4 linked regions of the Tribolium castaneum genome follow. The protein of the gene in region 2 interacts with the protein of the main gene of each other region in a pairwise test. Links are inferred from orthologs where the notes say so. Each region holds a gene or a part of one and is shown on either strand. Other genes may lie near its edges.

Evidence for each region.
Region 1: the proteins of nuclear protein 1 (region 2) and Mpp6 interact in a two-hybrid assay, tested with the Homo sapiens proteins (2 studies listed by BioGRID and IntAct). The link is inferred for Tribolium castaneum from reciprocal best matches to the Homo sapiens genes NUPR1 and MPHOSPH6.
Region 3: the proteins of nuclear protein 1 (region 2) and ran-specific GTPase-activating protein interact in a two-hybrid assay, tested with the Homo sapiens proteins (2 studies listed by BioGRID and IntAct). The link is inferred for Tribolium castaneum from reciprocal best matches to the Homo sapiens genes NUPR1 and RANBP1.
Region 4: the proteins of nuclear protein 1 (region 2) and Syx18 interact in a two-hybrid assay, tested with the Homo sapiens proteins (2 studies listed by BioGRID and IntAct). The link is inferred for Tribolium castaneum from reciprocal best matches to the Homo sapiens genes NUPR1 and STX18.

The regions. Positions count from the first base shown.
Region 1 is NC_087398.1:4,379,983-4,382,269, forward strand, and holds Mpp6 (M-phase phosphoprotein 6), read left to right. Parts: upstream 1-1,308; coding exon 1,309-1,734; downstream 1,735-2,287. Other genes in the region: Ptpa (serine/threonine-protein phosphatase 2A activator), read right to left, coding at 1-171, 294-636, 686-892, 941-1,029, 1,076-1,166. UniProt on the Homo sapiens protein: RNA-binding protein that associates with the RNA exosome complex. Involved in the 3'-processing of the 7S pre-RNA to the mature 5.8S rRNA and play a role in recruiting the RNA exosome complex to pre-rRNA; this function may include C1D.
Region 2 is NC_087399.1:2,801,017-2,803,152, reverse strand, and holds nuclear protein 1, read left to right. Parts: upstream 1-1,159; 5' UTR 1,160-1,236; coding exon 1,237-1,434; 3' UTR 1,435-1,636; downstream 1,637-2,136. UniProt on the Homo sapiens protein: Transcription regulator that converts stress signals into a program of gene expression that empowers cells with resistance to the stress induced by a change in their microenvironment.
Region 3 is NC_087401.1:11,103,064-11,107,349, forward strand, and holds the start of ran-specific GTPase-activating protein, read right to left. Parts: upstream 2,864-4,286; 5' UTR 2,721-2,863; coding exon 2,706-2,720; intron 2,657-2,705; coding exon 2,242-2,656; intron 1-2,241. Other genes in the region: wbl (protein windbeutel), read right to left, coding at 2,888-3,622. UniProt on the Homo sapiens protein: Plays a role in RAN-dependent nucleocytoplasmic transport. Alleviates the TNPO1-dependent inhibition of RAN GTPase activity and mediates the dissociation of RAN from proteins involved in transport into the nucleus.
Region 4 is NC_087400.1:1,051,034-1,054,213, forward strand, and holds Syx18 (syntaxin-18), read left to right. Parts: upstream 1-1,402; 5' UTR 1,403-1,540; exon of another isoform or gene 1,541-1,544; intron 1,545-1,590; 5' UTR 1,591-1,621; coding exon 1,622-2,506; 3' UTR 2,507-2,587; downstream 2,588-3,180. Other genes in the region: zinc finger protein 239, read right to left, coding at 268-614, 670-921, 967-1,351. UniProt on the Homo sapiens protein: Syntaxin that may be involved in targeting and fusion of Golgi-derived retrograde transport vesicles with the ER.

The sequences.
Region 1 (2,287 bases), on a different chromosome or scaffold from region 2:
TCGTCCAGGAGGACACTCCGCTTATGCTCCAAAGCTGGTTCGAGTGCTCGGCAAAAGGGCCGCTTTTTACTGAGTTTATGTACTGGATGCAAGTGAGGAACATGAAGTCCTCTCCATACTGGTTTAAAATTTGCGGCACCAAAAAACCCGACGGTTCAATGATCGGATGGGCTAAACAAACATAGTGGAAAAAACTTGGATGGAAATTGCGTTAATCTTAATTTTTTTAACTTAAATTTGGCCCAAATTTTTCCGAAGCGTTTTGTAAACCGAGAGTTTTTTTGTTTACTTACCAAACAGCTGCGAGCTGCCCCAAATAAACGGCACAAACTGGTAGTCGTCCAGACTCCAAACGCCGTGACTTCCGGCGGGCTCCATCCGGTAGGTCTTTTGTAATTTCCGCGCCAAGTCCAAATACCGCGTAAAAATGGCACAGCCAGTGGCTGTCTTATCATGTTGTTTCAAAAACCCGATTTTATACAAACAGCACAGGAACATAATGAATGAAATTTCGTGCCCCGTCCCGTAGTCAATCCGTGTGGAATTCCCGAACGATTCCACCAAATATGAAACGATCTCGGGGACGGCGGCATTTAATTCAGTCGGGAGCACATCCTGGAGCAAGACAAGCGACTCCTGGAAAACGCCCGTCAGAATAGAAACAAACGCGAATTTGTGGACCCACATCTCGCAGTTTCTGGTACCAGGTCCTGAACGCCACGTTTCCGAACCTTTGGGGCTGTTGTACAGCGGGCGTTTCGTCGATTTTCGTGTCAAGCTTGTTCAACAACTCGATCACTTTCTGGACTTCCTCGGAGGCGTTTTCGCTCCCGCGCGAATTGCTTTTGCCTTTAACTGCCTCGTTTATGGCCAGAATGAACCCCAAAAATTCCTATGGAATGAGAGTGTTAGATGAGGTCACGCCTAGAGGGAATTGTACAAAATAGGCCTCGGATTTCTCCCAGATTTTCATATCAGCCGGTGTTTTGATCAGTTTTGTGGGGACTTCGAAGACGTGGTCGGACCCCACTGGAACAAGCCGGTGAAAAAGGGGGAAAGAACGATGGGGAAATACCTGTGGTGGCAACGGAGGCCGCCGAGCGGCCCCGCGGGGCCGCAGGCCCGATACCCACCGCGAAAGACTCGGACATAATTGTTCTATTCATTTTATTTGTTTAATAAACACAAATCATAACCTTTCAATGATAAAAATGGCACGTCAAAGTGACAACTGACAGTTCTTCTAACCTAACAAATTATATTTTTTTGAAAAGTGTTTTATACATTGTTTTTCACTGAGCCAAAAGTATGCAAGGGCCTAAACCAGTTCAATTGTCCAAGTCCATCCTGGACATGAAGTTTATGAAACGTACGAAGGAAAGGGTGCTCAAGGAGCAGGAAGATGCCGAGGGCAAAGCCATGTATTCCAATGAAATCACCGACGAAATGAAGAAAAGCGGGACCATTGTATTCACAGAAACGAGTATCTTTAACTGCCGAAATTTAATCGAAGGGCGCTTATCATTTGGTGGCATGAATCCGGAAATAGAGAAACTGATGTCTAACGATTACACTAGGAAGAAACAAGAGGTGGAAAAACGCAAAGAAACCGACGTTAGTGACGCCCAAATGGCTCAGGAATACTCCACTCTAGTTAACACAATGGCAAATAAATTCAGCGGGAAGAAAAACAGAAATAAGCGGAAGTTTATAAAGCCATCTGAAGACTTCTAGTTAACCTAGTTTCGTATTTTGATTACATTGTATAAACTTTTTTTTGAATAAATTGAAGCCTGATATCTTATTTGTGCCAATTTTGTATTTTTAGCTCGCAAATCACCCTTTTAACGGCTGGTTTTGAGCGTAATTATGCGTAAATTGCGACTCATAACAACGTTATCAGCCGATAATTTTGTGTTTACTTGGTTATCTGTTTCTGATTCATTAAAAAAATGCATAGACAAAGCAAGCACGTGCCAAAATTTGCACAAGCTTTCAAACTTCCCGCTTTAGCGCTTGCGCAGATCTGTCGTCCTTTCTTATCAAATCTGTGCTCGTGTTGAATTGGTGAGTCCAATAATCAATTTTTTCCCCAATAGTAAACAAATTTAAATATAAAGTCCACATTTTCCGAGTTCGCATTTGAGATTTTTATGCCGCGAAATCAGTACATAAACACTGACTGACGTAGTTTGAAATATCGCTGAGAGGTTATATAAGATTCTAATTTTAATTTATTCACTCTGAGAAGGTTTTTGCGAGTTCACAAGAGAATCAGTCAAGGTAA
Region 2 (2,136 bases):
AACGGCAATAAACACGCTAGAAACATGGAAAATGTAATCTGTTTTTGCTTTAAAATACGAGCATATTAAACAAAATTCATTACTCAAGAAACAATAGCGAAAACTTTTGATTTTAAGTTTTTACATAAGTTTTAAAAAAACACTCAAAAATAGTAGTAATGTGCTAGGTTTTCACCGGTATAGTTTCTAACAATTAATTTTTTTCTTTTCTCGTATTAATAAAATTAAATCGAGAGAACTAGACAACCCGTTATATTTTTTTTACTTTAAGCTCCTTTTACTTAAACTGCATCAATTCCTTCGTAAATTGCTTTTTAATTTAGCATTTACTTACACAATCATCATTACTTACATCAAAAACATCTTTGGTTTTGAAACAGATAAAAAAATCTATAGAAATTCAAACCGTTATTCCAGTTCTAGAACACCTTTCAAATGATAATCTCGAATCTAATAATTGCTGTTCATTCTTTTCTAGAATAATCCAGAACGTTTCCTTTTATTTTTTCCAAGTAAACCAAAATTTATTTTTGCCTCCTGCTTATAATTAAGGAAGTGGCGGCTAGACATGTAAATATACATTTCTTGAAAGAAAAATTACTATTTGACGTGTAAAAATAGATCCTTATCGAAAGAAGATAAGCAGAAATGTGCAAGTTGATGTTAAAAACATGGTCACTGCAATCAATTATTTTTTCATCTCGTTCGATACTTTTTTCCCCGTGACCTTATTTTGTGAAGGTAATGATAACAAAAAATAACAATATTGCACAGAATTACGAAAAAATAATTTAGACGCAGTAAAAACAAGACTATCAGTAAAAAATTTATATTATAACCGTCAGCAAAAATATCATGGCCACATCAAGTTCACGTGGTGTATTGGTTGGCAATAAAATACAACAGAAAAACCCTAAGACGCCCACGCTAATTTAGAAAGTAAATAAATAAACAATGAAATAAATAAATGCGAAATCAAGGACAGGCGGCACCGAGTCGAGTTGACTGTTCCAAGAGTGAAAAAACCATTGTTCTGTCTTCAGATGCGCATATGATTAATTTTAATTAATTAAAAATTACTAATTTATGGTCAAGTCGGCGGAAATAGCGACTTTGTCGCTCGAGTTGGCAGCAGTGCGCGTGCGTCCCCACGGGTATAAAACCCAGGCGGCTGTGGCCCGCTTCAGTTGTTTGAATTGACGTTTGACAGTGAAAAAATCTCGTGCAAAAACCAAAATGTCCGAAGCTCATTTCGACGAATATGAACATTACAACTTCTTGTACGACAAGCACATCTACAGCGGCCACAGTGGCAAGCAAAGGAGCAAGAAGGAGGTCAGCGAGCACACGAACCACTTCGACCCCAGCGGACATTCCAGAAAAATCGTCACCAAGATGATGAACACGGAACAGAATAGAAGGGCGAAGCACTGATCTCGAATCCCCAATCTGTGATTTTCCAAAGACGTTCAGTGGCGAGTTTTGAGGATTTTGTGATTTTGTTTGACACCTCGGTAGAAGACATTGCTTTCATGATATTGTTGTGTTGATAGAAATGGTGTTGACGCGATGATTATATTAAATTATTGTTAGTTTTTCGAGTATTGTATTTTTTCAATAAATACTGTACACCTGATGTAGTGTTTTATTTTATTTGCGTTGGTAGACAACCATTGGAAAGTTTCCAGAAGGTTGGCGCGGGGCGGTAGAGGTGTGCGCAGGGTCAACGATTGCGCTTTGTTTGGTTTCTAATTATAGCAGGCCATGGACGTATCCGTTTTTTGTTTTTTTTTTAACTTTAATCTAGAAGAGATTTTTGAGCTGTTCTAGAAGTAAATTCCACTGTATAATGATGATGAAATAATTATTTGTAAAATTCGAAATCCGACAGTATTTATGTTAAAAATAAAAGAAGAAATCACTAGCTATTTCAGTTTTAAAACAAAATGAATAAAAACTTGAGATTTAATAGTAGGCGTTTAAAAGATTTTTTTTTCATTAACAAAACCATCAGACAATAGAAGTCATTTTGCCAAATTAACTTCTGTAACTTACATTATTCATCGTTGCCAACTTAATTTCAGTCACAGGCCACTTGAGCAAAAACTAATTGAATCCATGGCATTTTGGAATTTT
Region 3 (4,286 bases), on a different chromosome or scaffold from region 2:
GACACCGATGGGGAATTTTTAATGTCCGTTGTGAAGAGGTGTCCGTTAAGAGAGGTTTCACTAGTTTTAAACTGGCTAAAAATTAGACACCGACTTTCTTGATTCTTCTTTTAACTTTGTCTTTTGTTTTTTGTTTATAAAAAGTTTACATAAAAATACATTCGCGTTAAAAAAATTATATAATTACTGCTTCAGTTAGACTCTCATCAAGGATTTGGCAACCAATTAAACACAAATTATTTGTTTACTCACAACCACATAAATAAAGACTTATTTCAAATGCTTAAACTTTATAGAATAGAATAGAAAAAGAAGTAATACTAGGTAAATAAACATCCTATTTTACAGCCAGACAAGTGTGTTAAAAACAGTAATAATAACAAAGTGTGATTATTATTTCACAGATGTTTAAAGCTTAATTTTAGAAGTAAAGAAAAAAATATTAGAGGATCCAAAAACTTAACAGAAAATATTGATTAGACTTTGGTTTCATCTTCAAAAATTGCAATGGAACAGTAAGACTTTTAAACCAAAAAGTACATAGTCAGAGATTAAGACAGTGCGTGCAAACAATTTATCGAAATTATTATAAATTATTACCAATTTGCGTTCCACTTTATATTTTTGTGGACGCTGTGAATTCGGCTGAAGGTACAAAAAATATAAGGAACAAACTTGTAGAGGATTAAATTTAAAAATTTTTGAAAGGTTTGAAGATAGAAATATCACTGGTATAGAGAGTGCATTTAAAGTAAAAATGAGTTAAATGCGATTATTAGTTGTTTCAAAACTATAAAAACGCCAATATCGCCATTTTACTGATATATATTTTTTTAATAAGATTAATAAAAATGTAAAATAGTTATTAATTAGATCTCTTATTGAAATTATTTTGTTGAAATTAACTGTTTTGAAACAGCTAATATATATATTTTAATTTGTTTTCCTTTTGCAAAAACAATATGATGAAAAAACACTTTAGAATACATTAATTACAATCTGATTTTTTTGTACAGGTAAAAGTCAATAACATCACCTGTATTTGTTATTAAAGGCTGTTACTCACTGTTTCTTTTAAAAAATATTAATTTTACACTCGGTTTTATATAATTTTACATATGTTTGTACCATGAGCAAAAATGAAGGCAAAAACGAACTGACTTGTATAATTTGGGAGAATTTTCCGCCCAAACAAAAACAGAAATAAAGATAAAGAGGGGATAAATGGGGTACAGTGTTTAAAAATAAAATCTTTAAAATATGAAAACTTTCCAGGAACTATTTTCTATCGATATGATGCTTAATAAAATTATGCAACAAAAGAAACGCAAACAAAATTTGTCCTGAACCTAGTACCACTGGAAAAATATAGAATATATATTTAAAAAATATACTTTCGGATATTGTTAAATTAAAATTATTATCTCCATTAATTAAAAAAATATTTAAAAAGTAAGATTTATTAAGTGCACACGAGAATTTTTTTAAATTTTATACTGCAACTTTTCAACATTATGTTCACACACTGGTAAGTAGCAATTATCCTTTTAATATTTATATAGAAATAACTTCTTAAATTATTTTGTTTTTTTACACCAATTAATAATTATTATTTCGTACATACCCCAAAAACATGAAAATATTAGTTAATGATTTTCACCGCTAAGCTCACGATATGGTGTCGCGATTTTTTTAAAGGAAATTTAACTTAACTCTCTACAAGTTTCTTACTAAAATTTTTCTTGTATATTTGTAAAGTATAAAACGAAGCGTAAATTTTAGAATTTAAATATATAATTCTTTCGCATGTTTCTCGTAAAAATGTTAGTCGTCAGCCTATTAAGAATGCAAAGCTCAACATTTCTGTAATTTTTTCCAAATAATTAATAAATTAAAATCGGTGTCGTGACGATATAACGTTCAAAGCGCCCTCATTTGTACTCTGCCGAACTATATTTTTTGGGTACAGAAAATCTCTTTTCGTCTCCTAATTCATAGTCCTCCCTAGTCGACGTACTTCCTATTTCAAAACTATAGAAAAAATAATAACAGCACACTTATATTTTTTAAGAGTCAAATCGATCACAAATTAAAATGTTCTGTGTAAAATTTGAACTATTTCCATTTAAGCAAAATTGTACCAAACTTTTCGCTCGCCTATAATTCAGTGTTGCCAACCGACTTTCACTCAAACCCCCAAATCACCAAAAACTAAACAATTTATTATTTAACCCAACTTACTATCAACACTTCCAAATTTGATAGCGAAGCACTCCTTCTTGGCCTCCTCGTCGGCAAAATCCGCCACCACCGTGTAAACAAACGCCTTTTCTGTCCCCTTACAGGGCTCCAGACTCATCCACGGCCTGATAAAATGATTGGCACAAACCTTCAAAGTCTTATCACGCCTCATCACTATTCGCACCGAATTGTCAAGTTGCAAAATTTTTAATTCCCCTGTGCCCCTCTCCTTCCACTCGGGGGGCTTACTGGACTTATCAAACCGGTACAGTTTAGCCCGCATTTTCAGCAACACCGTCTCATTCTCCTCGTTCGTGCGAACTTCGACCTCCGGCAAACTCACAATGGGCTTAAACTGGGGGTCCAGCTCGGTGTCGGAACTCTCGCTCAGAGTGCGATCTTTCGCCTCGGTGTCCTGAAAGCGTCCCCTAAACGACTTTTCCAAATTATTCAAGCAAACTTACGATAATTTCGGACATTTCGTGCGAAAACCGGCTTTCTAACCCAAAAATAACGACTTTCGTTCGTGTGTTGTGTTTTAACTGGGAAATGTCAAAATGGCGTAGACAGCCAATGGCGGGGCGGGACCGTTTGACAGACAGGGCGCCAAATTCAAACGCAATGTAAGGAAAGGCGTTTATTTTAGTTACAATTCGTTTCTGGGTAGGGAAAATGAGCGCAAAATGTTCAGACGGGTGCTCAGTTCGGCTTTCTTCTGCTCGTTCACTTTGCCCTCCTTCAGGATTCTCTTCAAACGCCCCAGCTCCTGGGTGACGAACTCCGACCCAGTTTCGACAATTTTCGACATATATTTAAGGTAAACGGCCGCTGTTTCCTTCTCCTTGTCGGTCAATTCGGCGGCTTTTGCTTGGGCTTCTTCCAGTTTTTTCTGCTTGTACCCCGTATTGACAAATTCCATTGCCAGTTTATCAAACTTTTCCAGACAGCCGGGAAGTCCAAGGTAGATATCGGTGTTGTCCTTCACAACGTTCCTCAAGTTATCCACAGTCCATTCGGCACTTTTGGCGAATTCCACCGGCGCCTTGCCCTTGACGAAGAGCCTAACTGCGGGCAAATCGTCCTTTCCGACCCCGAACTTAAGGGCCAATTGTTCGTTTTCCTTGTCGCCGTAGTCCTTGACGCCGACTTCGGCGAGTATGAGTTTGTCGTTTTGGGCGAGTTCTTCGGCAAGTTTGGTGAAAACATCGTGTTTCTCACCGTAGGGATAAGCCACGTCGAATTTCACCAAAACCGCATCAAATCTCGAAACAATCTTATCAAAATTGTACTCGTCCAATGAAACGCAGCCTTTGCAGCCGTTTGTTGGCCGCGTATAACTAAACAGAAGTAGTAGTGAGCCTAGAATGTAACTTGAACACATTTCTAACTTAACTGTGCGATGGTTTTCGCATCTATGATTACGTGTGGTGATAATAAACAAATGAAACAAAACACAAACCTGCGACACGTCAAACTCGTACTTCGTTTGTTTCACTTGGCCACTTGTTATTGGCTAAATTGGAGGTGAAAGAAAGCGGGCAGAGTTGCCAACTGAGGCACTTGCAAATTACCCAAATGAGGAGTTTTCTTATACTATTTTTCGTAATTTGCCCCATTTTTGCCGTTTTTAAGTGAAAATCGATTTAGGGATTTTTGTGACAATTGTCCCAATTTGGAAAATTTTTGTTTTATCCAAATTTTGGCAAAAATACGGTCGCGAATTTGCTTCCTGCCAACTTAAAAATTTTCGTAAAATGTTTAATCAAATAATGACTATTGTGACATAGCACTTGATGACGTTGCGTGCTTTAATATGGCTGTTAAAGGCATTAAAATGGCGACAAATTACAAAAATTATCTTTTAGATTTACTCTGCGTCTTTGCACAATTCTCCAGTAATGTTTAGAAGTTTTATAGATTATTCTTTATCAATGTTTCTCCACTCTTCTCTTGATTTTTCTTTAGATTATTTTATAAGTTCATCTTTAGGCTTGTTTATAAATTCCTCTTAATTATTTTGTAGACTTCTTTCAAAATAATCCTAT
Region 4 (3,180 bases), on a different chromosome or scaffold from region 2:
CTATTGTTAACCGACTTAGCTCAACAATTTCTATATTCTTTATCCAAACAACTCAAAAATTTTGTTCCGTCAGTTCAGAAATATTAACAAAATTGTCACTTGCAAAAAAATTGGCATTTTCGAGGGAATTGGTGGTAAGTATCGCACACAATATTTTTTCTACAGCCATCAAACAGGAGGGATAAATATGATCAGAGAGTTCTAGGTGTAATAATAAAATTGCATACGAAAAACATTTATTATTTGTGAACTGATGTGTGATTTTACTCACACTTGATGACTGATCTTTTTGTGCTTACTAAGATTGCCCGTTGTTGTAAAACCCTTCCCACAGTTCGTACACACATAGGGCCGTTCGCCCGTATGTGTCCGCGTATGAATCGTTAAATGAATATTTTTGGAAAAAAGTTTACCACAAACCTGGCACATGAAGGGCTTCTCCCCTGTATGTTTCCTCATGTGAATCCTCAGCACTCTTGGGTGGACAAAAGACATGTCGCAGAGCTTGCAATGGTGCTTTTTCTCATCACAGTGAGTGCTGTTTATGTGAGTCGAGAGGTTGCTCCGAGTCGAGTAAGTTTTACCACATTGGCTGCAAATATACGGCCTCTCACCTACAACAAACAAAAAATTATAATAAAAAATAATGACCTTTTTTTGAGAAAATACCGGAATGGACCCTTGCGTGCACATTCAAGTTGTATTTCTTGGCAAAGGCTTTAGTGCAAACTTTGCATTTGAAGGGCTTATCATCGGGGGGCGCATGTGTCAGCATGTGGTGCTCCAACCCGGACGAGCAATTGAACGTCTTGCCACACACTGTGCACAAATACTGTTTTTCCTTACGTTTGTCCTCACCACTGTCCAAAAGGGGGCTATCTATGAACGAGAGGGACTGCTCTTCCCTCGCAGCACTAAAAACTTAACACCCCCAGTGTTAAAACACCAAACAGCCACTAAACCTACCTTCAAACGAGCAAAACTCGCACAAGTCTGCGCCCCCGCCCAGCACAAATTTCGCACACCTGGCGAGCCCCAAATCGGCGTTCAGACAAAACCGCACATCATGGAGCGAATAAATGAGACTTGTTAGATCGGAAATTGTCTCAATTTTGGACGCTGAGCTCGGGAGTTGCACAATTTCGTCACGAAACGACACGGAAGTCTTTAAAGTGCCGCTATCGCAAGTCAGGAGCACCCCCTTATCAATGACCACTTTATCACAGTGGGGCTTGACGTGCAACACGGCCAGGAACTGCTCCTTGGGGTCAATGTGCACGGCCCAGAGGGGCGTCGGGAGGGTCATTAAGTGCAAGTTTTTCACGAAATCACCAATTACCGACGCACACATTTTCCAGAATAACGCTTGACTGGAAGTTTGGTTATGTTCAACAATTGTAAACAAAAACGAATCGCGGTGGCTGACAGGGCGACTTGACCAGTCACAAAAATGTTAAAAAACGGTATTTTATGAGTTTGTGAAAGTTGTGCCCCCTTTTCTAAATTAATTAAGCCGTTCTACGGCCGTAACGTGTGATTTGTCGGTGCGTTCGATTGATTTGATAAATTTTTTGACGTTGTGGCTTTTAGGTTAGGTACACGTCACTTGTTCGGGGCAAAAATGGACATAACAATACTTTTCAAGGCTTGTGTTAAGACTGTGAGGACGACTAACAAGGCCTTAGGCCTGCAAGAGTCCAAACCGGCGCTCCCGAAGTCGGGTCCGAAGGACCCCAATTTGGCGACTGCTAAAGAAGTGGTGAAGCAAATAACGCACTTCCAAACCTTCCTCTTAGAGAATAAAGCAGCGTACTTGAACGTACTAAACTATTTATCCACCAATAAAACCATGACGGAGGTTGACCGAGAGCAAATAGACACAACAGCTGAGAAAATCGTAACCACATGTACTTCCCTCATTAGCGACTATAAAAAAGAAATTTGCAAGCTGCCCAAAAGCAAGCAAAAGGAGGAACACTACCACAACGTGATCGACTCACTCGAGCGCTACTTAAAGACAGTTAGCAAAATATACACCGAGGCGAAGGCAATTCGCGTGAAACGTGTCTTGGAGACGCACAAAGTGGCCAAATTGGAGACAATTGGCAGTAAAGGGAGTTTGGAACCCCCGATTGTACCCCCAGTATCGCCCCCTCCCGTCGATATCGAAGACCAGCTATCAGTTGAAGAAATGCAAATGTTTGAGTCGGAAAACGAAATGCTCTACAATGAGCTCAACTCAACGTCCGAGGAAGTCAAACAAATGGAAAGCAAAGTCGTGCACATTGCCGAACTTCAGGAATTATTCACGGAGAAGGTCTTGCAACAGGAACAGGATATAGAAAGGATTGCAAACAACGTCGTGGGGGCTACGAGTAACATGCGGGACGCTAATGAGCAAATCAGACAAGCGATTCAAAGGAATGCAGGCTTGAGGGTCTGGGTGCTGTTTTTTCTGCTAGTTATGTCGTTTTCGCTGCTGTTTCTCGACTGGTATAACGATTAACAAACCTAGAAAAAATAAATTATTTATAAGAAAAAACATATTTTTGTATAACTCGGCAATAAAGAATAAATCGACCAAAAAGGTTCTTACATTAAAAAAAATACATAAAACATTGCTGAAACCCAAGCTTAATAATTTGTTTGTTTGCAAACTGTGGCTGATAGAAAAGGAATTATAAAATTCGGGACATTCTATTTGAAAAATTTTTGAGTTTAACATTTTTCCAATTTCGAACTCATTGAAGCAAAGGTTTGTTTTCTTTGTAAAATGCCCAAAAAACGATTTCAAAATCTTTAAAAATGGCACAGCTACTGATTTTTGAAGTGAAAGGTATGAAACCAAAAATTTTCGAAACCCAAATAACGGGAAAGCTGATGTAAACTCCCTGATATAACACGAGTAACCCATTTTTCATTAAAAACATGAATAAATATTACCACAACTTCCAATACTTCTCATATGGGGATTGGACAAAACAGTCTATAGTTTTTTTGTTAACTAGGATATAAAAGAAAAGGACTGTAGGATTGAGGGTCTGGTCTTGTTAATTACTTTTGTGTACTGGTATTCCAATTAATGAAACCTACAGAAAAAATAAATTTATTTTTATAATAAAAAACAAAAGCATATATATTTTTGTATAACTCGGTAATAAAGAAAATTTCTCTTAATTA